Lepisosteus oculatus: one gene and its partners. The protein of the gene in region 1 interacts with the protein of each later gene in a biochemical or structural test. Links are inferred from orthologs where the notes say so. Each region holds a gene or a part of one and is shown in the gene's direction. Other genes may lie near its edges.

Evidence for each region.
Region 2: the proteins of eukaryotic translation initiation factor 4E-1A (region 1) and ipo8 form a complex in vitro, tested with the Homo sapiens proteins (2 studies listed by BioGRID and IntAct, with this or other methods). The link is inferred for Lepisosteus oculatus from reciprocal best matches to the Homo sapiens genes EIF4E and IPO8.
Region 3: the proteins of eukaryotic translation initiation factor 4E-1A (region 1) and eif4g3b form a complex in vitro, tested with the Homo sapiens proteins (3 studies listed by BioGRID and IntAct, with this or other methods). The link is inferred for Lepisosteus oculatus from reciprocal best matches to the Homo sapiens genes EIF4E and EIF4G3.
Region 4: the proteins of eukaryotic translation initiation factor 4E-1A (region 1) and eif4ebp3l form a complex in vitro, tested with the Homo sapiens proteins (2 studies listed by IntAct, with this or other methods). The link is inferred for Lepisosteus oculatus from reciprocal best matches to the Homo sapiens genes EIF4E and EIF4EBP3.

Annotation. Positions count from the first base shown.
Region 1 is NC_090696.1:61,844,816-61,852,146, reverse strand, and holds the start of eukaryotic translation initiation factor 4E-1A, read left to right. Parts: upstream 1-4,311; 5' UTR 4,312-4,399; coding exon 4,400-4,417; intron 4,418-7,331. Other genes in the region: metap1 (methionine aminopeptidase 1), read right to left, coding at 219-332. UniProt on the Homo sapiens protein: Acts in the cytoplasm to initiate and regulate protein synthesis and is required in the nucleus for export of a subset of mRNAs from the nucleus to the cytoplasm which promotes processes such as RNA capping, processing and splicing.
Region 2 is NC_090702.1:56,231,120-56,238,323, reverse strand, and holds the start of ipo8 (importin-8), read left to right. Parts: upstream 1-4,186; 5' UTR 4,187-4,319; coding exon 4,320-4,403; intron 4,404-7,204. UniProt on the Homo sapiens protein: Involved in nuclear protein import, either by acting as autonomous nuclear transport receptor or as an adapter-like protein in association with the importin-beta subunit KPNB1.
Region 3 is NC_090720.1:7,334,181-7,341,965, reverse strand, and holds the start of eif4g3b (eukaryotic translation initiation factor 4 gamma 3), read left to right. Parts: upstream 1-4,778; 5' UTR 4,779-5,228; coding exon 5,229-5,398; intron 5,399-5,491; exon of another isoform or gene 5,492-5,585; intron 5,586-5,763; exon of another isoform or gene 5,764-6,297; coding exon of another isoform or gene 6,298-6,323; intron 6,324-7,785. Other genes in the region: ece1 (endothelin-converting enzyme 1), read left to right, coding at 489-665. UniProt on the Homo sapiens protein: Component of the protein complex eIF4F, which is involved in the recognition of the mRNA cap, ATP-dependent unwinding of 5'-terminal secondary structure and recruitment of mRNA to the ribosome. Functional homolog of EIF4G1.
Region 4 is NC_090706.1:40,987,580-40,994,548, reverse strand, and holds the start of eif4ebp3l (eukaryotic translation initiation factor 4E-binding protein 3-like), read left to right. Parts: upstream 1-3,954; 5' UTR 3,955-4,153; coding exon 4,154-4,286; intron 4,287-6,969. Other genes in the region: ankhd1 (ankyrin repeat and KH domain-containing protein 1), read left to right, coding at 448-507. UniProt on the Homo sapiens protein: Repressor of translation initiation that regulates EIF4E activity by preventing its assembly into the eIF4F complex: the hypophosphorylated form competes with EIF4G1/EIF4G3 and strongly binds to EIF4E, leading to repression of translation.

The DNA of each region.
Region 1 (7,331 bases):
GCAATCGCTAAATGGAAGAAAAAAAAAACTATGTTAAAAAAGCATACCTATTATTAAGCAGGAATAGAAGAGGGTATTTTATAAAACAGCCCCAGGGATCACAACTGGGTACATTCAACCTCAGAAAACCCAAGTAGTGTGAGCGCGCAATACTACTGGGCTCTCAATTGAGTCCAGCCGGTATATACAGCAAAGGAAGCTGGCGAGATCCCCCTTACCTGCGAACAGAAATAAGACCCCTGGATTCCCAGTTTGATGCAGGTTGGGCATTGCAGTTTGGCCTCGCTATTACAGCCTTCCGTCTCACATTCTCTGGTTTCATGGGCCGCCATGCTGACACTCCAGTTGCGAATGGAGAGGAGGGGCTGAGACAGAGTCACTGAGGACCTCGAGTTGGGAGGAGCAGGGAGGCGCACGGCCACCTACAACACTGCCTGACTTTCCTAAGAGCAGGGCTGTTTTCCTTGAGCTTTCATTCATCATTTACAGTGGGGGTTTTCATAATTGCAGAAGAGGGAAGTGTCAGAAATTAGAAAAAGACAAAAACCAACAGTCACTGTGTCGGTTGTTCTCAGCGGCGCCAGCGTCAACCTTGCCGGCCCAATCTCCCCTTTCATCTAGAAACTTTTGATGCATGGTTAATGATTGTTTTCTGTGTAGCGCCTTTTGATCCATCAAAGAATGTCTGAAACCTTCTTCAAAACGATGTAGCAAGAATTCTAAATCATTAAAGCAGCATGTATTTAAAGTGTTACCAAATATATACATATATATCACAATAGTGATAGTCTTAAAGCAGAGAGAAAACATCTGCAGAATACAAACATTCCCATTTTGTTAACTAAATTTATGATATCAATGAGGTATGTATTTTAAATACTGTTTTAATTTTGGACAGGAATTTATCTAGCTGAAGACTGGCAAAGGCTGATGGAGATACAGTATATAATAACTGGTTTAATTAAATGTAATGCTTAGCAATGTTATTTTGTTTTCAAAAGCAGGCACTTCTTACTTGCTTGCGTGATTTTATGGACTAACTGTATGGAGGACGGCACTTGTAGGGAACAAGTAATCAAAATGTTATTGAAGCTGATATCCTGCCTTCAATTAAGAAACTGCTGGATGTGATTTTTGGATTTATTAACTACTAACTACAAAATGAGCTAGATAAGCCAAATAACCTCCTCTCGTTTATAACCTTTAATATGATGTTCTGATTTTGGGATTATTGTTTTGGGTGGTCATCTTGCTAGCCTTCAGTATATACTGTGTATATATAGCAATCAATGTACAGTAAGTAATATACAACTATGCATTCAGTTCTAGATGCTAATAAAATGGAAATTTATCAGGTTATTTGTAGACTTTACTTCCATTACTGGAGTTAATAAACTGTCCCAATTGTAAAGGATGATAGAATGTTTTATTGAAAATTGTCATAAAGAGAATTGCTCATTTTTGTCATTAATCTTTCTTTTTTGCCATGCAACATAAAAAATAGTAACAAGCAGATGTTCCTATAGAGTCAACTTCATCAATATTTTGGCTTTATTACTTTGCTTTTTAACTCTGTATAATAAAAACTGATACATTTGTTTTTCTCTGCAGACTAATGATACATGCTCCATGCACTATTGAGCTATCATTTGTGGTAAGGGAAAGTTTTGAAGATCAAACTAAAAAAGTGTTGTTATAAATATGCCACATGGGAATTTGTAAATAGGCATTGACACACAGTTTAGATGTAGTCAAAACCCTTATTTAGCACTGTCTGGGGCCTGTTACTGTTACAATAGCAGTAGAGTGGATAAGATACACTTAGTTTAATGTCATCACAATGTATTTGTAGTATCATTATCAGTGTAGGTCTGTATTCTCTCTTTCATTAATTGGTATTTCTAATGGCAAGGATAAGTTTGTAAACTTTAGCAAATAATGATGTTGTTCAAACCTTTGTCATCATCTTAATACACTGTTATTTAACGTGCAGCTTCTCAAGGTCTGAAATGAGCTCAGTGGCTTCCTCTCTCTTTTTAACCATTGTTCTTTGGTTTTTGTAAATCTTGGCTATTATTTCAGAGTTAAGTATTGGCAGAGAACATAAATAGTTAATAGTCCAGCAACTCGGATCCCAATGACTGCTCACAAGGGATAAATAGGAAGACTTCTCTAACCCACACACCTTTTAACATAACACAGGCACCTCTGACCAGAACCAGAGGTTTATGGGAGGAGAGCGGCATCTCTTACAGACTGCACCACATGCCTGCAAGTGCCCAAGGGAGCCAGTAGAGTCTCAGCCAGCTAAAAACACTATACCCTCAGCAATGCTCAACCAGTCGTGTGCTGCTGCTTGGGGAATCTCAGTCACAAATGGCTCATAAGATGAGATAACTTGCTCTCCATGAGACACACAGGTGGGGAGAGAGAAGTTTGGGGTCAGAACACAGGGTCAGCCATTTATACAGCACCCCTGGAGCAGTTGGGGTTAAGGGCCTTGCTCAGGGGCCAAATGGGGTAGGATTCCCACTGCCAGCCACAGGATGTGAACCAGTAGCCTGTCAGCCACAGGTGCAGATCCTTAGCCACAGTGCCACCACTCTGTCCTTAACCGTAGAACTTAACCTTCAAAGCTCTATGAGGACCGCTGCAGCTCTATGAGGACCGCTGCCGTGGTAGAATTCTGACCATCACAGAGGACAGTCACCACCCTGGGCATGAGCTCTTCACCCCACTGCCCTCAGGCAAGAGATATGAGCATACGGACACTTACCACTAGATTCTTCAATAGCTTCTATCCACAAGCAGTGAGACTGGCGAACACATTTAGCCATCCCCCTCGGACCACACCTACACCATCACCATCTACCTCATTGTAATTTATTTATTGTACATCTCCAGTCATTGTTTACACGTCTGTATTGTTTACATTCAAACTGTCTGCATGTTTACTTGCACATTGTCTATTGTTTGTTTGTATATTGTCTTGATGCACTGTTTGCACTTTGTTTTGTTTTTTACACTTGTTTTACAATCGAGAGACTTTCTGTAAGTAAGAATTCCATTGTACCAGCACCGGTTACATATGGCAATAAAGTTCAAGTTCAAGTTCAAGTTCTATTGGCTGTCCTGTAGAATCCTATCTCCGTACCCTGTGATACTGTACCATGATTCTCAAATCTAGTTCTAAATGTCATCTCCTTAACTTTATATGCAATATTGGTCCTTTGTAGTGTCTTTGTCAATGACAAGTTCAATGTTAGGAAAATTCACTTAGCTATCTGTTATGTTCATATATTCTTTTATAGGACTATATCTGGGTATGACAACATTCTTTTTTTTAAAGAAGGTTCATGTTAAATTTAAGTTGCCAACACAAACTGTTCTTGTGCTTGGTGGAGTTATGTTTCATTTGGCAATTGACTTGTTTTACTAAAATTTGTTTTATATATTTTATCCATTTTTTAATCTCTTCTTCCAATTCAGGGTCACAGGGAAGCTGGAGCCAGATGGACACCAGTCCATCACAGGACACACAGACACAAGCACATGTACCAGGGCCAGTTTTTTTACGGAAGCCAATTAGCTTACCAGTATGTTTTTTGTACTGTTGGAGGAAACCAGAGCACCCAGAGGAAACCCACATGAACACGGGGAGAACATCTGAGTGGGTGCTGCACATTGGTGGTGGAGGGGAGTCCCCATTATCTGTAAAGTGCTTTGAGTAGGATGTCCAGAAAAGCGCTATATAAGTGTAAGGAATCTTCATTACTATTAACATATTGCATAACACCCCAGACAAGGAATTGAAATCAGGGTCCCAGTGATACAAGGCAGAAATGCTAACCACTGAGCCACTGTGCTGCCCAAAGTTTATACAAAATCAATAGCAACTGTCACTGGAATTCATACCTGGCCAGTGGGTTGTTATGTTTGGATAGTAGCAATTAACAAGCCCCGGTGTTCATTATTTGCTAGAAATATCACATGGCAAAGATCTGGTGGTACTATCACATTAGCTGACTGATAAGTATGTCAGGTTTGGTCTCTGAAAAAGAAGCAATTCTAGCAATAACAATAGTGCATCAGTGGTATGTGCATTGTGGTAAATTATCAATGTCCCAAGAATCACATGTATATGTTTAAACCCTGCGTGTTTTTTTTATTTATTTTTTTACTATTTTTTAAAACGTCAAGCAGAGGACAGTGAACTAGAAAAAACTTTATCCGTATCGCCCACGTTCCAGCGAAACTACAGACCCCACAACCCCCCTCGTCCCGTTGACATAGGAGCATGCGCAACAGCCATTGGCAACTCGGTTGCGTCACGTTGGACGGCTGAAGCCAATCGGCTTTTATGTTCCCACCAGAAGCCTGTGAATCAGATTGATATAAGATGGCGACCGCGGAACCGGTGAGTGAGTGTATTGCTCTGAAACATTTGTTTTAGTTGACCGAGTTCTCAGGGCGTTAGTTCACATTTTTCTACTGGTTCGGTGAGAGGGTTTCGCACGGGTTTAGTAGCGGGGTCGTCGGCGAGCCTGTGGGTCGGTTTTCGATGAGATAATGGCGCGAGTATTTGCGGGCAATGTGTGTATGTATTTACGTGCATGTAGGGTGAGCTTGAGCCATGAGCACTCAGCGGTTGTAGGAGGAGACAGCGGCAGCAACATGAGATGCGTGTGAGTCACAGCAGATCAGGGATCACCCGTGGAGTGTAGTCGGGGCCTGCTCGTCCACAGGCATCGCACGTCGCCTGTCAAGTGCATCGCATTTCCTCGAAACACGGAAAAAAAGAAAACACGGGACACGTAATATGTCCGTGGCGCTGTACAGCTGACAGTTTGAAACTGGAAATAACCCTACACACACACACAGCATACTCTTGGGCTGCGATTCCCTCCGATGACTAGTGCAGGGCATCTTGAACTTTCACTCGGCTCTGACGGTTACTTGAGAGAAGCTTTTGGCTTTAGAGACTAACTCCCCGTGTTTGCTGAACCGCCCGATGTTGACGTTTGACGTTGACAGTTTTATGTGCCTCATTACCGTAACCGTAACATTACTGTTGGGTGTCAAGCGCCTTTCCATTCATCTCGCTGTGCGCTCTTTAACTTGTCTGATTTAGATACCTTCGTGTCGAGGTAATTGCGAGCAAATTGGGTATTGAACCCTCGAGGGATTAAGGTGGTTAGTTGTATGCGGTAAGGTCCCCCCCCAACCGTTACTAGTAAAGCAGTTAACTGATCATAAGACCTGTAGCTCATTTGTTTTGCCCGAAAGAGTGCATAACAGATGTTTTGATTTAAAGAGTGACTGTTGGGTCCGTTGTAATTCACCAGTTTTCCAGCCAAAGCAAACAGGTTCGCCTGGCTTGTTCGATCCCTTCCGCTGCTCTTGAAACTGCAGATGCTGCAACTCGCCAGCGTGTTATTGTTTTGCGTTCAGATGCGAAGAAATCCCTCAGCCCCGGGCTCCTGTAGCTGGAATGTGAATGGATGATACATTTTCCATGTGTTTTCCTCCAACTGTACATTACGGAGAATGCTCCTGTCGTGTGTTGTCCAAAAAACAAAACCCAGGCGTTCCTTGAGCAGTGACGTTATGGGTGCCAAAGGAATTTTGTAACCTTTGGAATTGAATAAGGATTTAACTCCCGTTTCTTATTGGTTTGAACCATTCACTTTTTTTCCCCCTTTTTTTTTACTTTGTATAGATTTAAGCCACGTTTAAGGTATTCAACAGCTGTTTTTGGTATGAGCGCCTCCTGCATGTGAAGTCAATGACGGATCGTATAGGTTCCCAGTGCAGAGGGGTAGCTTATGACTTCACCTTTTTTATACGTTTAGACTTGGATTAATTAGCTTGGCACTGAAAATAATAAGAAAGGGCACTGTGTCATTGTCTAGGCGCTAGGTTAGGTAGATTCTCTTACTTTGACTTGTAACTTCTTGCTACCATATGAAAATGGAACAGTAACATGGGACTTTTTTTTCTTGGCTTCTACAGTCGTGAAGCTGGAATGGAAAAAGAAAATACTCCCACACGCTATTGAGCAATTATTTTCAGTCAGGAACAATTTGTAAAAGCCAACAACATAAAAAAAGCAGTATTAAGCAAGCACAAATAAAATACATAAGACAATTTAAGTACTCTTTAAGTATGCAGTGTAGCTGGCCAAAGCTCTCCAGTGTCAGCTTATTCCTGCTAGTTTGTGTGAGTTCCACTATGTTCTTGTGATATGATAGCAGAAATTGTAGTCATGCTTCTGTATATTCTGTTTCATGGTCCTAGTGTTTTTATAGATAGGCATGGGCAATAATGTGCCACCTTTCGCAAATAATATTAGAAATTGCCCTTGTTAGAAGACTGTAAATGTAATATAATAAGTAATAGGTTTATTCCATGCTGAATAAAAGAAGAAAGAGAACACAACGTTTCGGCCGTGGAGCCTACGCATGCTGACGCAGCTACCCACCGGAACTACAATGTAATATAATGTTGTGTACAGTTTATATATAGTGTACAGTTTTTTTACATGTTTTATTTTATTATTCAGTGTCAAATATTAGTATATGGTGGTTTAGTATTTAAAGCCTTTTTGGATAGAAGGAAAATCATTTTTTCCCCAATCATTGACATTACAGTTTCAGAGTTATATTGGCTACAATTGTGTTTTTTCATGTCTTTCGGAAAGTTTGAAGCTTTGTCTCCAGTTAGGCCTAGTAAGCTTGTTGCACATAGTGTTATCATATTAGCTAAAGCTCAATCAAGACTCTATTTTAAGTATGACACATAACATTCTTTGGTGGGGAAAAAAAGTGTTGTTCAGGACCTCCCAGTTGCTATAGTGCTCTTATCAATTTTTTCCACAATCTTGTTATAGATTAACTAGGCCTGTAGAGTTAATGTTGATGCTACTATGCAGTTATATTGTATGAATCAAAGAAATGTGATATGTTTGTTTTTTTATTTTACCTTCTAAGATGTTTTGGTTGTGATTCATTTTTTTTTCTGTGAGAAATGTTGCTCTTTTCCATTACCATGTCATTACCCGGTGATTACCAGGATTTACTCCAGATATCTTGATGAGTTTTTATTTCAGCAATTGAATATATTTGTCTTACACTACTGTCAGCGCTTAAAAAAAAAAAAGCAATATTAAGCAAGTCCGATTACCGGTTTTCAGCTCCTTTATCTAAATTTAGAAAAACAGCATTTTGTGATCATCTTATGTTTGGAGTGAATCTCTTTTTGCCGCTGCATTTTCCTGTGACCTTTCTTTGGATTTAATAAAAAGTGTATTTTTCTTCAAAATAATTGTGATG
Region 2 (7,204 bases), on another chromosome or scaffold:
GTTGTGTGATGACTGGGGAGGTGTAGTTAGAATGACTAACTGAGCACTTTATAAGACTTCATTGTTGCCTTGCTTTTTGGTTGGAAGTGGGAGACTTAAGCTGTGAATGTCTGTATCTGTTCACTGCAAAAAGCTGTGTACATGTCTAGCTGGTAACTACCTTATTGATGAATCTGCTCTGAAATGGGCTAATTACAGTGCCTCGTTGTGCCTAAATAAACTATTGCGCAGTTCATGAGTCTGTTCTTTGATCAACATTTAGCTGCCAAAACGGTTGGTGTGGCCCCATTCCCCTGTCTGTGCGACTGAGGAAACTGTTCTGCTGTTGGAGTCTGTCAGCGGTCTGTTCTCTGTATGAATTGGCGATAAAACCACACACTGACCCATCTGGCTACTGGCACTCATGTTGCAGCACTCTTACCTACCTTCCCCTCCCCACTTCCAAATGGGGCTGAGACTGCTAGTGAAGTACTATGCAGTGTTTGCTGCAGTCCACCGGAACTTGTGGGGTCCGTTGTAATGTTGGCTCATTGACCGCTTTAATCTGCACTGGTTTCTGAGGGCTTCTGTCACCATGCCCGTGCTTATGACCTGCTGAAGGAGAGGTCCGCTGTTGGTGGCTACAAAGGAGTTCAGGCATGTGACCTCTTGATAAACTGCAGACTACCTGTAAGTCTCCTGGAAGCCCATGAGAGAGAGTGAGGGTTACAGCTCCTTGTCCTGGAGGTCCTTGTTTTTGATGTCTTCAAGTTGACTGATTTCAGTGAGTGGCTGTCCAATCTCTACTGGGCACCAGACTCCTCATTTGTCTTTCAATTACAACAATGGCAAAAGTGGCCTTTGCTTTACAGATCAAGCGTAAAGTAACTTTGAGCTGTATTTTAACACATGGAACATGCTAGATCGGTAGTTTTAGTGCTTAGCATTGCTGCCTTGCAACCCTGGGTTCAGTTCCTGCGCTGGGGTGCTGCTGTATCTGTGTGGAGTTTGTCCACAGGGGCTCTCTCCAGCTGCTCCTGTTTCCTCAAAGATGCACTTGCCCTAGTGTGTGTCCGCCCTGCGGTGGACTAGTGTCCCACCCAGGGTGGATCCTGCCTTGAGCCTGTGACTTGCCTAGAGAGGTTCTGACTCTCCCACAACCCTGAGTTGAATGAAGCACTGGGGGGGAGGAATGGGTAGATGGGTGTTCAATAAGTGAAAATGAGGTAAAATTCCCATTGCAGTGCCTGGGAGTTCCTTCCCCTGTGGAAGGTGTGAAACCAGGCCTGAGTCTTGGGTGAGGGAGGTTTGCCATGGTGTTGGCTTTCCTGGAGGTTTCGAAGGCCGTTAATGAGCCAGGGAATGTTGCTAGCTGGGATAGAGTGGCAGGATGGGTCACTGCCATTAGGAAGGAGGGGTGATGTAGTGCAGGAGATGAAACCTATCAGGGGCAGATGGGTTTATAAGTGTATTGTAGTCTGAGAAGGTGACTTCTTGGGGTGATACAACTGCTACATTTTTTCACCCGTCGGAAGTACCGTTTACCCAGTTGCCCCGGTCAGCACAGCAGTGCGACGTGGCCCAGAGGACGTGCCCGTGTCCTCGGAGCAGCGGGGTTTGTGTTGAGCTATCGGCTCCTAAGGAGAAGGCTCAGGTACCGCAGGCATTGTCCTCCAGAAAGGACACTTGAGCAACTGACAAAAAACTGTAAAAGCAGAATACAACAAGAAGACGCAGAACTTGTTTTTTTACGACTTGTGCTTCAGGGCAATTCAGGCCATGTGATTTCTGGTGTACGTCGTCCATGAGTCCATCGTACAAAAGGTGGAGGAACTCCCTCCTTGGGTTTTGGGCCAGATATGTGGTCTTGTGCCACTGTGGCTGCTGTGCCAGTGTACACAGCTTTGTAACAGAATGAGTTTAAAAAAGATGGACTACACAGAGGGGAGGGAAAACCTTTGGAGTGAATGAAAGGTGACAGTACAGGTTTTCACTGTGCTGCGTGGCCTGTTTTATTGAGAACCGAGGAATTTCAGGTCATCCAGCGGATGGTGAGCAATTGTAGTGTTAGTTTCCACTAGAGGGTGCAAATGTCACTGAAGGAAAACTAACGGGGGACGGAGGTTCTCTGCACAAATGAATGAATAATAATTCCTTACACTTATATAGCTCTTCTCTGGACGCTCCACTCAAAGCGCTTTACAGGTAAAGGGGATCCCCTCCACCACCACCAGTGTGCAGCCCCACCTGGATGATGTGCCAGCAGCCAGAGTGCACCAGTACACTCCCCACACACCAGCTCTCAGTGGGGAGGAGAGCAGAGTGATGAAGCCAGTTCAGAGATGGGGATTATTAGGAGGTCATGATTGGTAAAGGCCAGTGGGGGGGGGGGATTTGGCCAGGACACTAGGATAACACCCCTACTCTTTTCAATAAACGCCCTGGCATTTTTAATGACCATGGAGAGTCAGAACCTCAGTTGTATGTCTCATCCGAAGGACGGTGCCTTTTTACAGTATAGTGTCTCCGTCATTATAGCGGGGCATTAGACTCACAGACTGCAGGGTGAGCGCCTCCTACTGGCCCCACTAACACCTCTTCCAGCTTCAACAGGAGGTCTCCCATCCAGGTACTGACCAGGCTCACACCTGCTGATCTGCTAAGAGTGGACATCAAAGTGGAAAGAGATAGATCCTGCTTTTTATTGATTCTTTATAGTCATCCTCCCAACTTGAGGAGCTCATTGGTCGTTTGTCTGAACCAGGATGCTGCTGAATGTTCACCTGGGAGACACACAGAGGCCTCACTGCACCAGCAGCCCCTCCTGGGAGACACACAGCGGCCATTCTGCACCAGCAGCCCCACCTGGGAGACACACAACGGCCATTCTGCACCAGCAGCCCCTCCCGGGAGACACACAGCGGCCATTCTGCACCAGCAGCCCCAGATCAGAAGTGTGAAATTACAAGGAAGACTGAATTAAGGGCAAACCTGTGAATGACAGAAAAGTAAACAACAAACCAATCAGTAAATCAAAAGTCTTCTGCAGATTATGAAAACATGAAACAGTGTCGACAGCTTTGTAGTTGATAAAAGGTGGGGTTCCCAGGGGTCACTGGTGTCCCAGACATTCTACAGGTACTTTTAAAACGAGCAATTTATAAAAACCAGGTCATATGACTTAACGCCCAGATTATGAGTTCAATGAACTGATGAACAGAGGCGAAATGACATCCAGTCATGGGATGAACTGTCTGGAAGATGCCCAGGTTAAAGAACAGACCCCTTGTAGTTCCCCAGGCCGAAGGAACAGAGCCCTTTCAGACCTGAGCAGGGAAGATTACGAGGGGATCTGATTCAAGAATTCAGAATCCTCAATGGCACTGACAAACACAGCCAAGCAGATTTCTTCAGAAGGAGCTGTGAAACGGGGGGCCAGAGGACAGAAGTGAGAACTGCAGAAGTGCATTTAAAACAGGGAGACAGAAGGTACTTCTTTACATAAAGGGTGGTGGGAGTGTGGAACAAGCTAAAGGCTACCCAGCCACATTGTTAAGGCTGATGCCCTGTTTTCTTTCAAGTACCAGCTGGAGGAGATCCTGTGATCAATTGGCTACCACCTTCCAAACAGGTTAGATGGGCCAAATAGCCTCTTCTCGTAACCCCGGCGTCATGGCCAAATTTCCCATTGTACTTTCACAATCACTGACTCCTAGTGATCCCCATCTCTGAACTGGCTTCATCACTCTGCTCTCCTCCCCACTGAGAGCTGGTGTGTGGGGAGCGGAGTGGCTCATCATCCAGGTGGGGCTGCACACTGGTGGTGGTGGAGGGGATCCCCATGACCTGTAAAGAGCTTTGAGTGGAGTGTCCAGGAAAGCGCTATATAAGTGTAAGCAATTATAATATTATTATTCCCGTTTATAACGGTTCCTACTTTTAATAAAACGTCATCTTGGCAGTTGGAACTTGTTTTTGGACTCTTTTCGTTTTGTCTTTCTTACTCGTGCTGTAGATTTAGCACACATCAGGGTTACAGAGTACCTGAAACATCACGAACGAACTGCAAAAGGCGCAGAACGCAGACGGGGGCAGGACCGAAACCCACTTGCCGTAAAGCCCGGCGCGCTTGCCGTACGATATGTCTGCCCCCAGGAGCAGGCCCAGCCCACCGCCAGCCGTAAAAAAGGTTGCCTTTTCTTCGCGTTTGCGACTGCCGCCTGCTGATTACCGGTAGGATGGGGCAGGGCTGTGTCACAGACACTGGCTGAGTGTGCTGAACGCCGACGATAATTGTTGCGAGGACCGTTTTCCGCCGCGGCTCGGAAGGAGAAAGCCAGATGGATCCGAATCGGATTATCCAGGCGCTGAAAGGGACGATAGATCCGAGCCTGCGGGTGGCCGCGGAGAATGAGCTCAATCAGGTGAGTTATTTCGCAGATCAACTTTCCTGTTGCTGCAGCCGGGCGGCGGCAGGTTCCCAGTCAGGGTACTGGGTCCCGTCCGAGCGAGGAGGCGCTGCAGGCCTGGTGGCGTGGCACCGCGGTCCAAGCAGCGGGCCCGGGCCCGGGTTCGGTCCGGCTCGGCTCGGCTCGGTCCGGTCCGGTCCGGTCCGGGCCTGGACGGGACCGGCGGCAGCCGGGGTCCACCCAGGGTCCCACCGGCCAGAGCAGTTTGATGGCGGCGAGTGAGCTGCAGGGATCCCCCGGCCACAGTTTGTCAGTGTTGCCCCGCAGGGGTAACGGGGTAGTTTGAGCCTTAAGGGGACCCCCTTGGGTTTCATACTCGCCCCGGGGCTCGGAAGGGGTGACCGACTTCTGCATTTTTCTCTGCGAGAGGTAACAAGTCGTGCACAGATCCGCAAAGAGAAGTTTTGTTGTGGCTGTGTCGGCGCCGCGGAAACAGTCACGGACGCCGGGCTCGTCGGTAACACTCTGGGAGTAATCGTTCAGTAAAAACTCTTTGTCGCTTGCGGCTTTAGAAGCAATGCCCCCCATATCGTGGAGATGCGTTGCTCGTTGACGTGATGCGATTTAAACACTTCCTTGCGAGTTACACTGAAGAGCGGCGTTGGTGTCTGTGAAGCTGCGCTAGACAGAAAGCATCTTGCATTAGTCAGTTCCCCAAGACCATCTGAACTGCCCACGGGGTGCATAAACACTCCAGTGTAGCTTCACAGAGGGTTTTTATTACACTGACTAGGATATGCACTGGATTTCAGTTAAAATAAAATGTCATTCTGACTGTGTGCGCAGTTATGCTTAAACGTATGTAGTGCGTCCCTGTGAAATATAATAGTGACCCTGTCCTGTGTCCCAAGGCTAAAAGAGCACAAGAAGCACTCTCTTCCCCGAGACCTGATTTCATATGACAAGACGAATCCCTGTTGCCACTACAGTGGCCTCGTCTGCACTCTTCACCATCTTATATCCATCGCTGTGAGCAGAGTCCTGTGCTCATTCAACCTGTTCGCAGAGACCGGGACGAAGTCTCTGTCTCTTGTTTGAACTCTATTCTAAAGCTGTAATGTCCTCTTGGTTGGTGTGGTGACGGCGTGTTGTGAATCGGGTCTGAACACTGCGTATGACCAGAATATGACCCCCGTGGCCCAGTCCGCCGTCAGGAAGCCTCGAATTCCCGGTTGGGTCTCAGGAAACTGGAGCCTGTCCTGGAAGCACAGGGCACCAGGCGGGACCGGGCCACAGCCTCGCCAGCGTGTCTTGGGAAACTGGGAGATATCCGGCATGTGGTGCTCCGCTCTCTCTAATGTGTGGTGCTGCCCCATGTGGTCTTCGTGTGTGCAGGGAGGAAGATGCATAAACGCCCGGAGTCATTTTCCACCTCATGGCGCTGTCCGGGGCTGTCTGCGATGCTCTCCCTGCTGTTTCAGCGTTTGCTCCTCCCCCTGTCCTTGTGTCACCTTGAAGTGTAACTGGTGTGGGATCTTTAGCAGCAGGAAGGGAAAAGGACCTTGATCGGACCCCTGTGGTACGCCGCAGCGTTGACCAGCCCCAGCTGTTCTCCTTGAGACGATGAGCAGTCTTCTGTTATCGACCTCATCTCCAACAATCTGCCTTAAGCCTTATGGATTCGTCAGAATCTCATCCTCTTCAGTCTTATTCCGTTCTTGTGGTTAGCTAAACAAGACTTTCCCTTTTTTTGAATCCATTGGTGTCTCTTAAGGTGCGATTATGTTATTTAAGTATTCTTCTCGTTTAGCTCTGGCTGTTGTTTCCATAATGTCGCTAAGTTAAGACCGATTTATCTGTGATTCCTGGTTAAGTTTTTTCCCTTTTTCCTTTCTACGATTTAACACTAGATTTGCAGTTCTTCGATCAGCTCCAATCCTAATTCCGAGCTGAAATATTCTAGCTAAGGGTCTTGGCGTCCCCCTTACCTGTAAAGCGCTTTGAGTGGAGTGTCCAGAAAAGCGCTATATAAGTGTAAGCAATTATTATTAATTATATTATCCTTTATTCCTTATTCCTTTTATTCCGTTAAGTACAGCTGGTTGCCCTGGACTCTGTGACCTCATTTGTCAGTTATACTCGAAGCACTCCATCTTGATGGACCTTCTGTTACACAGGGGGCATGGGATTAGCATCTACGATCATAAAAATGTGTATAAATATTAATTTAGCCCCCCGTTTGCAGTTTGGCAGTTCACTTCTGGTGCAAAAAACATTGCCCCCACGCCCGGCCTGCGCACTATGGGGTGCTGGCGCTGTGGTGAGGTGCTCGGCAGCAGCAGGACAGGGGTGCTGTTGGAGGCTCTGACTCAGTTTAATGAGATGCTGAGATTCTGAAACGGGACACCTTTCTTTGCCCAGAGGCAAACTGCAGTCGTGAATTTGCGACTTCAGTTGCAGGAACCGCTGTGTCCGGCGGTGTGGAGAGCTGTCCTGGGCCCCGAGTGAGCCGCTGGACGGGGAGGACCGCTGTGTCCGGCGGTGGGGAGAGCTGTCCTGGGCCCCGAGTGAGCCGCTGGACGGGGAGGACCGCTGTGTCTGGCGGTGGGGAGAGCTGTCCTGGGCCCCGAGTGAGCCGCTGGACGGGGAGGACCGCTGTGTCCGGCGGTGGGGAGAGCTGTCCTGGGCCCCGAGTGAGCCGCTGGACGGGGAGGACCGCTGTGTCCGGCGGTGGGGAGAGCTGTCCTGGAGCCCTGAAGTCCTCTCTGCTTGGTTTTCCCCACTTGTGTCCTCAATGGCAGGATCATACTGGGCAA
Region 3 (7,785 bases), on another chromosome or scaffold:
ATCCAGTTTTCCAAAATCAGAGCTGAGAGAAGGCTTTTTTCACTAAATAATTTCTTTAAAAAGCATCCTTTGTAGAGCCTGCTAAATAATTGACATGCTTAAAGCACTGGTCTGTTCAAACATCTATCTAAAATTATTGGTCATTTGATCTCTGACTGTACATACTGTACCAGTGGGCACAAATAACACTGGTGTCCAGGCAGGGATGGTTTAGTGGGGGGGACAGTGTTTGTAGGCTGTAAAATCATCGGCACTCCTATAGATATAGTGCCTTCTGGCATGTACCATCATTGTTCTCCAATTTGTCTGTGTGACGCCTCAGTGCACAATCTACTACACATTTGTTTGAGTATGTCATCTTATCAGCATCCTGTTATTTCTAGGAAAGCAAAGAGCCGACTCACAACAGTGAGATGTTGTGTGAGCTTGTTGCAGTTGTCTCTGCACGTAAGGAGTGAATCTTGTGTATCCTCTCTCCCCGACTGCAGGTGTGGTGCTCAGTGCGGACACCTGAGAGCTCTCGCGAAGGCGTGATCACAGACCCACACAGTCCCTCTCGCTTTCGAGTCATCGGTACCGTGTCCAACTCCAGGGAATTCTCCCAGCACTTCAACTGCAAGCACAACTCCCCCATGAACCCCCAACGTAAATGTGAGCTTTGGTGATTTCCAGTGCCGTGCCTATCCAGGACAAGAGTGACTGGGAACTCCGGGAATGGGGAACGTTGCAGAAGGAGGCCGTCAACATTTATAAACCACTGAGATGCTATCCTTTCCGACAATCCCACTGGACCTCCACTAACTTCGGAAGAGCATGCTGTTTCACTAACTTCAAAATGAAACTCTGTTAAAATATTTTTGGGGAAGAGGAAAAGATGCAAAACACTGGAAAATGGAAAATAAGAAAAAAAAAGAGGGAGAACTTCTACTTTTCATGATTCAGGTTTTGTGTAGAAATGATTATTTTTAAGCACGTTATTTATTTTTATGGTTGTTGTAAGTTCCTGTTATTGTAGCTCAATTTTTGGATACTTAAACATAATTGCTTTTCAGTTTGTTTATTCCATCATCAATGACTGCATATTTTGAAGAACAGTCTTACACACCTATATATAAATAACTTCATAATCAGCTGTTTCATGAGAAAACTGTGATGGAAGGTTAATGAGCAAGGAATGTTCAAAATAGCAAGTTGAGAGAAGACTATTTCTCCCATGATGTGTCTTGTTATTAGTAGTTTATTGAGCAATACTAAGATGCTTATACTGACTGGAAAAGAAATTTCCAGAGAAAAGAACTGATTTGCAGTTCAGTGAGGAAGGCTGCTATGATTTAAGCTACTGTAGTGCTGTATGTGTGTTGTCTGTCCGGATATTAAAATGTTACATATAACCTACCAGCGCTTAATGTGTTAATCATCAGACTGCAGCCTTTCAGGACTGACACACATTTACCAAGGAGAATATTATTAAGAAAGTAAACTTAGTCTATTTTGTATGTGCTGGAATGCTACAACAAACTTTTTTCTGTTGCATTGTTCTCAAAGCTTTTGTAACTGGGGTGACCCTTTTTAAAGACACAATAAGGGCCTCTAATTTCGATCTACAAGCAAATAAAAAGAATTATAATTACCTGAAGTGATAAAAATATTACAAACAGTGCTGCGTTTAAACTGTGTCATACCAAATGTACCAGGCAAAACTGCCGGAAGAGTGTTGATACTACACTCTACTGTTCTTGGGGTGTAGTTAAATGGAGTTTAATTAGTGAGCTTGAACAGTACTAGCTGAAATTGTACTATCTTATGGACTTTAAAAAGCTTATTCATTGATTTTACACATGAAAAGGCTGTTCAATCCAATATAACCACTTTGATTATACCACAGAATAAATGAAAAAAAGAACTGTATAGAATTAATACAATTATCTCTTAAATGTAATTTTTATATGGAATGCAAGAAACTAAATGCGCAACAGAAAAGGGTTAACTGTGTTGGTTCACTTGTGTTGTCAAAAATCCATTGGTCTGTCAGTACATAACAGTCAGACGTCCATTACATCAAGAACTTATGTACATAATTAACCACTATTTCTGGGTTTTATTGGTCAAGTACCACTGCCTCTATAGTAAAAACGGTTTCCATGGGCACACTTTCCATGGGCTTTTCAGGTTGTTGTGAACCAGGGCTGCACAGCCTAGTTGCTAGCTTCAAGCCTCCAGGCCAGTTGTACTTTGTCCTGGTCTTGGAGAGCTCAGTGGTTTTCTGCTGTTAATGCCTTGATTGAATCATTTGTTGAATTGATTGTTTTAAATGAATTCAACAGGCCTTATCCACTAACGGTTTTAAATTCCCTAGGAGACCAAGCTTGGGGATGAGTTGTGCTGCTTGCTCCTGTGTGTTGGGGTGTGAAATCCAGTGCCATCCGAGAAACTGATACCCATTTCTGTTCAGTGACCTGGGGCAGGACCTCCCCTGTCCACACACCTGCTTGCGCAAACGTACAGCGGTGAAAGGGGCTGATTTGTTCTTGTGCACAAAATTAATGTATGGTTTGTGAAAGAAAAGGGTGGACTGGGTTCTCAGACCATATTCTTAAATTATTTCTGTTTTATTTGTTGTTTCTGTACATTTGTGTAAATATATTCTGATCACTGAATGGGGTTTGCATTGTACAAGAAACAGGTCTTCATTGGTGAATATGTATGGTTGTCTAGTTGTTGGTTTTGTTCTTTGAAAGTTGTCATTAAGATTTCGTATAATGAATGAACCTCCATTGAACACTGTTATATATATATATAGAATTGTTGGTCTAGAATTATAACAAAAATGTTTTCTCCCAGTCTCTTCCGACAACTCCTCTTTAAATCACTGCATGACACTATAGTCTGGCTATTTTAACTGTAGCTCTTACAAACAGCAGTTTTTTATCCTAATGGGATGAACTGGGCTGTAACAATCTGTGCCCCACTGTGAGTTCATCATGAATGACAGGATGTAAAACCAAAACAATTCTCTATATATTGTTTACAGTTACAATTGTAAGAAAAGCCTGATGCCTTAAGCTTTCAACTTGAAAGTGTAATTAAAGACCTTTTTAAAGAAGTACATTTGTGTTCTTGATTTCAAGTCTGACAGCAGTTGCGCTGTTTGGGATGATGGGAGTAATAGGCGATATTGATGGTGAAATGACTGGAAGGGGAGAGGGTCATTATTAAGCAAGTACTATACAGATTTAACACTGAATCTGTTTGGCGTACTGAAACAGGAGCAGGGAACGCCCATAAAAATTCAGTGGCAAAACTGGATTAATAAAGGCATTGTTCTTGGGAGTACAGGTGATTGAACCAACTGCAAAACTGTGGGGCTTGATTTAAAAAAAAAAAAGAAGCCTTTGAACTACTCCATAAGTTGCTTGGATCTGTAAGTTACTTGCAATCAGGTAGCCCTACAAACCATTACTCTCTGACGTGTTTTTTTGTTCTTTTCGCTTTCTGTACAGCACACTGTTACAGTACCTTCTGGTGACCCATGCCTTTTCCTCTGTAGAGTGCGGTGTTTTATTACATATTCAGCTCAAATCAGTTCCTGAACACACAATATTAGTCTTCTTATATCTAATTTGTATGGTTCGTTATGCAAGTAACCCAGTACCTTCGTTTGTGGTAAAGACTAAGACTCCCGCAGTGCTGGGATTTAGTTCCAGAAATTCCTGTCTATGTGGAGTTTGCATGTTCTCCCATGTTAACAATAGGTGCTCCGGTTTCCTCTCACAGTCCAAAGACGTACTGGTAGGTTAATTGGTTCTAGGGGGAAAAGGACCCTTTTGCAAGTGTGTGCAGGTTTGTGTCTGTCTGGGGATGAACTGGTGTCCCATCCATGAGGGTACCCTGCCTGGTGCCCGTTGCTTGCTGGGATAAACTCTGGCTCCCTTGTGACCCTGTACTGGATAAAGCTGTTTAAAATAGATGGAAGATTGTGGCATATGAGACTAGGACATTTTTTAAAAATCAAATACACTTCTCTGCTAAAAAAAGTTTAAATCCTAAAAATCATACGCCATACGTGCATATAAAGCGCGTATGTACATGAAGCGTTTTACATTGGACTAAGTCAAGGTATTTAGAAAAGGAAGTAATACTTTATTTGGAACATCCAAGTAAACATTAAGCAATGCCTTTGCAGGGGCGGTACTTCACAGGACAGACGCTAGATGTCACTAAGATCCTTAACTATTTTGGTTTTAAAAAGGACAATTTAGGACACGGTTACACACTCAAAAGGACTGTTGGATTTTAAGAAAATTCCGCCACCTCATTCACCTTGATTAAAAAAAAGTAAGAATAATTTCCCGAGTACATACTCAATGCATTATCAATCTTTTTCAGTTGTTTTGTATCTACTTACGCTAATACTTTTGGTTCCTGAACCATACACTCAAATTCTAGGATGGTAAAATCGTGAATGTTTCTTCAACGTTGTATAACTGCTATTGATTTATTGAGCACTGCTTAAATCATTTTCACTTATCAGAGGCAACAGGGCTTCTAGCATTTATTAATCAGACTTGTGAAACGGGCATGATACATGTACATAAATAACCTTCTCGAGCACAAACAGCACGCTTTTTACACCCTGTCAATTGGGATTTCCAGAACGACAATTTCCGTAAGTAGCCGGAGTTAAAAATCCCCAAACCTCGCTGGCGAAGGGAGTCGAAGATACCCGAATGTTGACGTCACCCCCGTTGGGGGGGGAGCAGCCGAGCATTTCCGGAAGCAACCGACGTTTTCCGAACCTGTCCGTCCTGCCGGACTGCTGGAGGCGGCCGCAGCGCCATGTTGAGCGAAATCTCCCTTCTCACTGAAAAAGGACTTTTAAAATAACAATTACTGAGCAAGAAACATTAAGTAACTGAAGAAGGAAAAACCGGCGACATCCCTCTGGGAAGCAGAACCGAACCGGAATCGAGGAAGCCCCGGCCGGGGAGGGGGAAAGCAACCCCCCCGCCGTCCCCATGAAGATAAAACCCCAATAAAAGCGACTCTTTCCATTAAAAAGGCATTTTTTTTGTACTGTCCCAGTACAGCACAGGGATTAAGGGCCTGGTCCGGGGGGAAATCTGTCGCTGTACTTTTTTTTTTTAGATGTGTACAATATATTTTTTACACCTCTGTATCAATATTTATTATTGCCTACATCTATTTTTCTTTTGTTGAATTTTTTTGCGATGAGTTTGCCGCCGAAAGCGGTACCGAAATCAGCCGCTGCCGCAGGAAGTGGACCCGGAACCGGGCCGTCTCCGCCGAGCCAACTGCGGGCTCTCCCGACCTCCGTGGCGTTACCGGGAGCCCCGGCCGCCCCGCAGCCGCCCGCCGCGCCGCCGCCGCCGCCGCCGCAGTATCCTTCGCCCGGCCGTGTCGCCCCCGGCCCCCCGGGCCCGGGAGAGAGGTCGGAAGGGGGGGGGTTCGGTGAGGGTACCCACATAGCAACCAGATACATACCCCCCGTCTGCCCCCAGAAACATACCTGCTCCGGAGAGCAGGGTCCCGGGGCATTCGTGCTCCGGCGAGGGGGGCTGGGGCCGGTAAGTCCAGTAACGCCGGGCTTTGTTCGTGAACTTGACAGGTCCGGTCTGCGCTCCCCGGAACGTCAAGTTTTGTGTTGTGTGTGTGTGTGAGTCTTGTGTTTCTTCCCCTCACCCCCCCACCCTCTCTCCGTTTTGGTAGAAGACAACGGGTGGGATAGGTTAACCCGGGTGTGCGGCGCAGCTGCGTTTCGGGGAGGAGGGAGAGTGGGAAAAAAAAAAAAGGCACAACGACCCCCGGGCGCAGTTTTCAAGATTTTACATTTATTCCGTCTGCGTGGGGCCTGGCTCTTGTCGGTGTTTTTTTACCCACCCTCCCCTCTCTCTCTCTCTCTCGCTCTCTCGGCAAACGGTTTGCGGCAAAGACAGCCGTTGTTTCGTGGGCCTGTGCCGTGTTAGGTACCAAACGAGGTGAAAATGCATTGATCCGCTGAACTCGGGAGCGATAATATTAACGCTGGACTTGATCTGTTTTTTTTTTTTTTTTTGGGGGGGTGGGGGAGCAGGGTGAGTTAACCGGCTCCCTAGTGTCTTGCCTGTGACGCGCAGGTCCGACCCCCTTAATACCGGCAAAGCGGTGAATTGGCTGCAACACTGGGTTGTGTTTACATATGCCCAGCCGGTGTGTGCGCCAGGCGGCTCTGTGAAGGCAGCATTGCGAGACACTGTTGCACAAAGGGATCGCAGCAGCCTGCTGCGCCCAGTAAACCGGATGTATTCTTTTCGCTGTAACTACAGGTAAGATCACTTTTATTCCCGTGATTCGAGGTGTAGACGTGGGGCTGGACGGCAGCGGGGCGTGAAGCAGAGGTGCTGACAGCCACCCCCCTCCTCCCCCGAGGCCGGGTTTGCATGGAGAGCTGGGCGGACAGGTGCCGGCTGCCCGCTTTGGTTTAATGGATGCTGCGTCAACGGGGATGCGAGGGTGTAGCCTACCCCCTTCAAACCCATGGTCAGCGCTGTCAGGGGGCGATCTGAGCGATGTCAAGTCGTACCCCTGGTTTGGGGAGTAAAGAGGCGAGAGTCTGGGGGAGAGAGAGGTGGGACTAGGGCTCCATGAGCAATGGCAGGATGGCTGTAGGTGTTGTGGAAAGATATCCCTTAGGGTCTTTTGTTTTTTTTTTGGCTTTCAGGGAGTCTGGTCCTTGGAGGCCCTTTGGTCTATTTCAAGGGAAATCGGACATTTTTGCAGCTAACTCCACCACATTTGGAAAGTGTGTCTGCTTTTTATAACACCCTCGTAACATTCCCGACAGACTGAGGAGCCGCAGTGTGTATTGTAACAGCAGACGTGTACGAAGGGCTTAAAGCTTTTGTGTTTCATTGCATGCTTTTTGTGGTGTTTGTATGGGATGAGCGTGTCTGAATGCGTGCCTTTTGACTGCATGACTTCATAATGGCTTTGTTCCATTGGTCGTTTTTATCCGTTTTACATCAAGTCCCCCAGAGCTGTGTTGGTGCCCCTCCTGCATTGTTAGGTTGCCTCCCCAGCCTCAGAGAGAATGGCGAGACCCCAGGTACTAACTGCTATTGGAAGGGGAGGGTGAAGACTGAGAAACAGCCTGCGATTTAATAATGATGACATAGCTGGTGAAAGGACTAGGAACCTGCTCAGTTGGTGATGGCCAGGTTTAGAAATGCTAGTTACCTTGGACTTTGCTTGTGCCACTTGTGCAGTTTTGAGTTCCACCTTTTAATATGGAGGTGCTCTTTTTGCCCTGTTAGGTTCACTATCCATAATTGTAGTTTTGCATAGTGTTTGTATGTTTCTGCCTGTGTGTCTGCGTAGGTTTCCACCTAGTGTTTCAGTTTCCTCCACGGGCCAGAGACATAGTGGTAGATTATTTGGCTTCTGGGAAAATTGGCCCTGGTGTGAGTGTGTGCGTGTGCCTGGCGATGGACTGGCGTCCCGTCCAGGGTGTACTGCGCCTTGCGCCTGCTGTTCGCATTGATGGGCTCCTGTTCCCCGTGACCTTGAACTGGATGGAGTGGTTTGAAGCTGGATGGATAAATCTTTAAGCTGCTATACCGGTTGCTGGATACTTGTATTGTAAGGGGTGATCTCCAATGGACTGGTCAGCCTCCCCCCTGTTTCCTGATGACTATTAATGTGCTCACATGATACCTCAGTTTCGAACAGTTATGTGAACCCAAGGACACAAGACAGGTTATAGATTAGACGTTGGTAGTTAGTGGCTAA
Region 4 (6,969 bases), on another chromosome or scaffold:
AATCCCTGCTCAAATGTGTTTGTATTTAATTGATTAAGTGTGGGAAAAAATGCATTTAAACCTTGGTGTTCTTTGTGGAACTGGCAGCGTTTTATAGCGGCACGCCTGCTATGTAAGTGTCGGTGGACAATCAATATTTTGTGATAACTGAGGTCTTCTCATCCTCGGCAATCGATCTTTTTATTGAAATGTTTGTGGTTGAAAACGTTTAAGGATTTTTGTGATACACATTCCATTTAAATTATAGCTTATTTTAATGTATCTGATTCATATGTAGGACTAAATATTTTTGAAAAGTGTGCAGTTGTGTGCAGAAATGTTCTTGTGGGATTCTGTGCTGAATCCTGAGGTGTAATTGCAGTGGGAGTGGAGAGGGGATCAGAGTGCTGACAGTCTTGCTTATGGCTGTACGTGACTCGCTAATTGATGTTTATTCTGTCATTACAGGTCTGGCCTGGTACTTGGGCACCACATATTGGAAACGTGCATCTGAACCATGTTAACTAAAAAGATTGAGGCATAACGAAATTGAAATTGAGATGTTAAACTTGTAGTGTCCTAAAGTTAAAATTGGAAGGATGGACACCATTTTTGATGTGCCTAACTAAAATTTCTGTGTGGGCTGTTACTTCTATTTACCACTGTCTATGAACAAATGGATTGCCTGTACAACAGGATACATTCTCTGCTTAGTTTAGCCATTTTGACTTTAAACCCACATAAACTGTTCTTGGGCTGTTGGCTCAACAGTACTGTAAGCTATTTATATGCAGCCAAGAACTAGATGATTACATAAAGATAAATCAGACCTTTTAGAGTGGTAAATACATGTATAATTGTTTACATACTAAAAAGGGTTAAAATGAGAGTAAATTTCATGTCGTATAGTGGCTCTACTTTATGTAGCCTGTATTAATGTGAAATATTTACCTTAATATTCAATAAAAAGATGGAACTGTAACTGTTTTGCGTCTTTTTGTAATCTACACCCCGACTTCAAAGATGTCACGAAGTAGGAAACTTAACAAATCCCTAAACACTAAAGTGTACTTAAAAAGGATCTGTACAGGGTGTTTTCAGTGCGGACATGCCAGGTTTAGCCTGTCAAAGTCTTTTTAGCTGTAACCATTGGAATGCAGGTATAGACAGACCATTGTATGAGCGTTTCTCTATATGAACAAGTCACAAGTTATTTTATGAAGTCACAAGTTGTTTTTTTTCCTCTTTTTACAAGACTTATCAATTACCAGCCTGTCATCTGCATTTCAGCTTTAACCTCAGAAGTGTGCCTTTTATCCACTATCTGGATTCTGGCATTCGGGGTTGCTGTTTTGAGTTGTTAAAAACATGCACATTTCTAGAGCAGGAAAAAGTAACGCACTTCATGTGCAGATGAGACATACAGGTGCAGTTACACTGTATTCCCATAGAGGGCATCGTTTCCCAGTGAATCCCTCAATAGAGAAAGGCCTCAGCATGGAGGTAGGTGGAGGCTGTGATCTCCACAGAAGGGTGAAAGTATTTGAGTGTGGGGCTCAGAAAAGAGGGACAGTGACAGTTTAAAATTCAATAAAGGGACAAACCTTGTACCCTTTTTATGCTGGATATGCCTCTTTTGATTATCAACTTATCCAAGTGGCATACATGGTTTTTTTAAAACATTTTAACATACCATTATTGTAAATATACCATTGCGTTAATTACACTGTCTTAATATTTGATATTTTCTAGTGGTTGCAAAAAAGAACTACAAGAGCTTTAAAAGAATGCCTTGCTTTTCAATACTAGACAAATGGAAGAGTTTACCGTTTAATTAAATGCAAACTTTATTTTCCGGAGGGAAATTTGTTTTACGGCACAATCCGATACAACAACGCAACGAGGAGTACAAACATGACCAACTAAGAAGATGGTACAATAGTGATCCAGGAGATGAGTTACTAGATGCTAATTGAGTCGTATTGCAACGGGCACAAGACTTCCTGAGGTTGTTACTTCTACACTTGTGCACACAGAGGGATCTCCCTGGTGGGAGCAGATTCACAATGGAGGGGGTCTGTCTGTTACAATTCTTTTGCAAATGGATCTTTGATTTTAAGCATGAAGGACAGTCCTTCTGCAGTCATAATTCAGTGAGTCCAATAAGCAAGTTATATCCTATAAATATCTGGGATTATGCATTGGGATTACTCTTGGAAGGCACATATTCTACAAAACCAAAATTACATTTTGTGGGTTTCAGGCTTTTGGTGCCAATAGTCAGATTCTGACCAAGTTTTTCAGTTCTCTGGTACAGTGTCATGCAGTATGGAATAGCTGTATGATATAACAGCCTTTCTGTGCAACAGAAAGTGAAAATGTCCAGACTCTCGGATGTGTTCTAAGAGAATGGGGCAGCCACTTCAGCAGAGTGTGTAGCAACTAGCTGTGAGGATCTCCCCTGATCCCTCACATCTTCTGCAAGAAGATGATGAACTCATGCCTTGAGACACAGATCCCTCAGTGTGGCCTTTAACAAAATGAATTATTTTAGCTCATAATGAAACTCCTAGTCCACGGCAGCACCATCAGTGGGTTATGTGCCAAGGGGGGTGTGTAACTATGGCTCAGTGCAATTGTACGGGTTTATTTACTGGTTCTGGTATAGTTGTGTGGACTGATGAATTTTTATGCGTGTCATGAATAACTAGAAGTAACCGTCTGTTATGTTTGTTAATATTTACTTGAACTGTTTGTGTTTGGTAAATTTCGGTGTAAAACAAAGTGCTGCTTTGATGCAAGACAAAGTTCTGAGAAATCGCACAATGAAGTCTTATAGTAAACAGCGTGTTCTCGTTCGCCTGTTGCTGTGGGGGGGCTAAGATACAGTTCAAATGACCCCCGTGAGAACATGTCTCGCCAGCTCACCTGTCCAAACAGAGCCTGTGGGAATCGCCTGTCTGTTTTCGTGTGGCGCTGCTCTGAGCCACCGTCCTCATCTAGAAAGGAGGAATATTCCGACACAGCGCAGGAGCGAGTACTGCTGCGTGTTCGCGCACACGCGTGTTTGCACGGCCTGCCCTCTCGGGTGGACACAGTGACCCCGACCCCTCAGGGCGAACGATATCCTCCCACTCGGAGAGGGACACGCGTGGGGAAACGCATACGGCAGCCCTGGTTCACATTAGGACTAAAACGTGAAGTGGGGGGGTATAAATATGTCGATTGAACTTTGTCATTATACTGACACAGGTGCTTAGTATGATGGAAAGTGTTCCTCATCTGTCTCTCGGGCGCAGTATATATATATACAGAACAGCAGACGGGACAATAGACAGTAAATACAATAATAACAATGTAAACAACGAGTATGGTACCAGTGTGACACCACCCGCATCAGTAGACAAACAGTGCAAGATAATACAGCGATGATCAAGCGGTACAACTCGAGTAGTTTTATGTTCGAGTTCGGCTTGCGGTCGGTTGTCGCCGGTGTGGTGTGTGTGGGTCTGTAGGAGTGCAGTCGCTGTGCGGTACAGGACGGGTGAGCAGAGGTCACCGGCCTGACGGCTCTGGGGAAGAAGCTGTTTCGGAGTCTTGTTGTGCGCTACCAGATGGTAGGGGGACGAACGCCGTGAGTGGGGTGAGTGGGCTCAGTCGTGATTCTGGTGGCCCTTTTTCATTCGAGCAGGAAGCGACCGTTGCACGGCGGGGCTCCGCCGACACCCGCCGAGCTCAAGCCGACGCGGAGTCGCTGGGCCGCCGTGAACTTAACGCTGGGCTGCGACACCCGCCCTGTGCTGATAAAGAGGTTTCGCGATGGGCCGGGGCGGGGATATCCGCCTTTGCCACGGCCGTGGCAATACTTGGGCGGCGTTGCAGGACCCGGGGGAGGGGGCTCAGCGCGCGGGTGTAATCCAACCCGCCGCCACGCGTGATCTTGTTGATGTGCCGTCACGTGAGCCGTGTCACGTCCGCCTTTAAAGCGGTTTGCAAATAGACGCGCACATGGTCCCTGCGGAGCCGAGCTGCTGGGGAGAAGTCTTTTCGGCGCAGCGTATACTTGTGGGAGGGGGGGTGTTTAGTTTTTTTAAATTTATTAAGGCGACCCTCGCTGGTTGGTTTTATCATTGAGAAGGAAAAAAAAAAGAGCAGCACAAGAAGCACAAGCACAATGTCTGCCAACTGCCAGAAGTCCAAGAGCTGCCCGATCCCCACCAGGGTGATGCATCTGAAGGACTGGTCCCAGCTCCCGGACTGCTACAGCCAGACGCCCGGCGGGACGCTCTTCTCCACCACCCCGGGAGGTAGGCCGAGGGCCGCGGCGTGCGAGTCCGCTTATGGCTGTACTCAACTTTGTTTTAAAGTGTTGTTTCTCTCCTTTTTTTTTCTTCTTTTTTTTACATATAACCATCGGCGCGATGAAACTGTTCGAACCAAAACAGTGAGCGTCTTCATTTAAAAAAAAGGGGGATTTTCTTTAATTAAAAAAACTGCCTGTTGGCGACCCTTATAAACGTCTGTAACTTTGGGGGAGGGGGTGTTCTTTGACTTGCCGTCCCGCTGAAGATCGCTGTTTTTCTGGTAAAGCATTGCGAAACGGCGCTTATCCGTCGTGTTCTCGGGGGTGCGGGGTGTTTAGAGCCTTACCGGCCGCACACCGGGCTGCGACGGGCACCTTTCTCCCAGGTTGATCGGGATCAGCTGCTCGGATGGTCGGGACGGACGCCGTGGCTCCTTTAAAACAGCGTCTGCCAGTGAGGAGACCGGGGCGGGCGGAAGACGAGCTGCAGCATTTCTCCTGCCACGGCTGGGTTTGCGCCTGTGCGCTTTGATTTTAACGCGTCCTGTGGGGTTTTCCACGCGTGTTTGTGCAGAAACACGCAGCGCGTCTCGCAGGTCGCCGCGCTCGGTACCATTCGTCTCCAGGTGGAGCAGGAGGTATCAGCCCAGCCTGAGCACCAGGCAGAAACCCTTCAACAACACGCTGTAGTGCTTTACACGGTGCGCCTTTTCTGGAAGTGTTAAAGGGCTTTGTTGTTTCTCCATGGAGCACAGGACACCCGAAACCCACGGGATAGGTGCTCGTTTGGAGACTCGGAATATCCCCGGTTGACTCGCGCGGGGTGGGGGTGTAAGCGAAGCGGTCACTCGCACCTCGGCTACATGAGGGCCGAGCGCCTGCAGTGTCAAATTTCACATCTCGGTCTGGGATGAGAGCTCTCGGCACGGTTTGTCCTCACGAGTTCAGTTCACGTCTATATACCTTTCTAGCCTCTCTCGAGACCCGATCAGAAATGGAAGCCCGCTGGAATTCAGACCAGTTCTCCCAGTTCTGGTCACTAGCTCGGCGGAGCTCCTGAGGCACTGTCGCCGGACCTGCAGAGCGGTTGGCCTCCAGCTCTTGCCTTGTAACGCTGACCCTCCCTCCACAGGGGCTTAAAACCCGGCCTTTCCTCCCGGCTGAAATGAAGACGACCTAATTACAGCAGGAGCTGAAACCTGTTCCCCATGCTGGGAGAGTCCTCTCCTTGCAGCCGGACACTGATCTCAGCTGCAGGGCTCGGGGGTGGGGCACTGGTGTATTCCTGCGCTCCGGTCAATGGGACGCCGGGTGAAAGTGTGTCTTTTTACTACGGGGCTTTTCCTGTGCTGGGTCTGTGGACTTGTCCGGGTCGGACCCAGCAGAGCCGCTCGCTCGAGAGGAGGAGCTGGGGAATTATCGGCAGCCCCTCGCCTCCTCGCGCCTCGCAGCTGGGGCTCTGGTGTCTGCCTCGCTCTGGAGGACAGCCGGCGCTTGGCGTCTGTGCCCTGCTGTCCAGCCCCTGCCAGCTGCGCGGCGAGAATGCGGGCTGTGACTTATCCCTGAACTGTCCCAGCAGTTGTGTGTCCTGGATCTCTTCCCGGTGAGTCCTGCCCCAGGGCTGGACTGCTCTGGGGGAACGGCAGCTCCTCATGTGTTGTAACTGTCGTTCCGAGCTGCTCTGAAAGGCTGCCCGCTGTGTTCAAGCCCTCTGCCCCTGAGAAACTGGCCGTGGTCTCGCCTGTGCGGAGGGGGGAGTACTGGGGGCCTGTAGTACTTGTAATGGCTGCCTTAAGCCAGCTGCAGTCCCTTGTGGAGCCTCCTAAACACCAGAGAGATTCCCGTTTGCGTGCCAGTTGTTCCAGAGCACACCCTGGGGTGCAACAATATAACTCATCTTACTGGGGCTACAGACCGCTGGCGCGAGGTGGGAAGGTGCTCTGGTCTTGGTCTTGCTTGGACGAGCCCTGGGTGCCTGGCTGGTCCTGTACCTGCGCCGCGCCGCGATGGGCAGCGCCCTGCTGGCTCGCCGGGGCTGAGCAGGCGCGACGGCCGATTCGGACTTGCCTGGTGCACAGGCCAGTTCTCACACGGGATTTAAAAGCGGCTCAAGAACGCGACTGTGACTGTTCAGTCTTCGCTTGAACAGGCCCCACAGGGGCTGGGCGACGTGCTGTTTTCCTCCAGGAGCTGCGCTGCTCACCCACCCCGCCTGGGCCCCAGAGTGAGGCCTGGTCTGGCTGGGGACCCGCCCATTCCAGGCAGCTGCAGAAATAGCTGAGGACACGCTGTCCCGGCCAAGAGCAGCGCAGCGCCGCGCCAGGGCGGGGGAAGGCTCTGACTTCTAAGAATCTGAAAGACAAGCTGCCCCTGTTGAGGAAACTCGCTGGTCTGTGTTGCCCTGCAGCCCTGCTGCAGAGGGGTGTAGCCCCAGTAAGGGGGAACTTCAGGACGGGCTGGTCAGCCGCACCCAGCAAGCCAGGCTGTTTCTGCAGCCGCCTCTTCACAGCTGGGGTGGATAAGGTGTACGGAGAACAGAGGCAGTATGTCTGTCAGCCTGCTGGGTGACTGCAGGATCGGAGACCAGCTTCTCTCCGCCTGCCCTCCTGAGCCGTCTATGTGTGCTGTTACAGGCCAGCGCTCCTGCCCTGGTCTCGGTGAACTGCGCCAGAGTGCACCGCCAGACT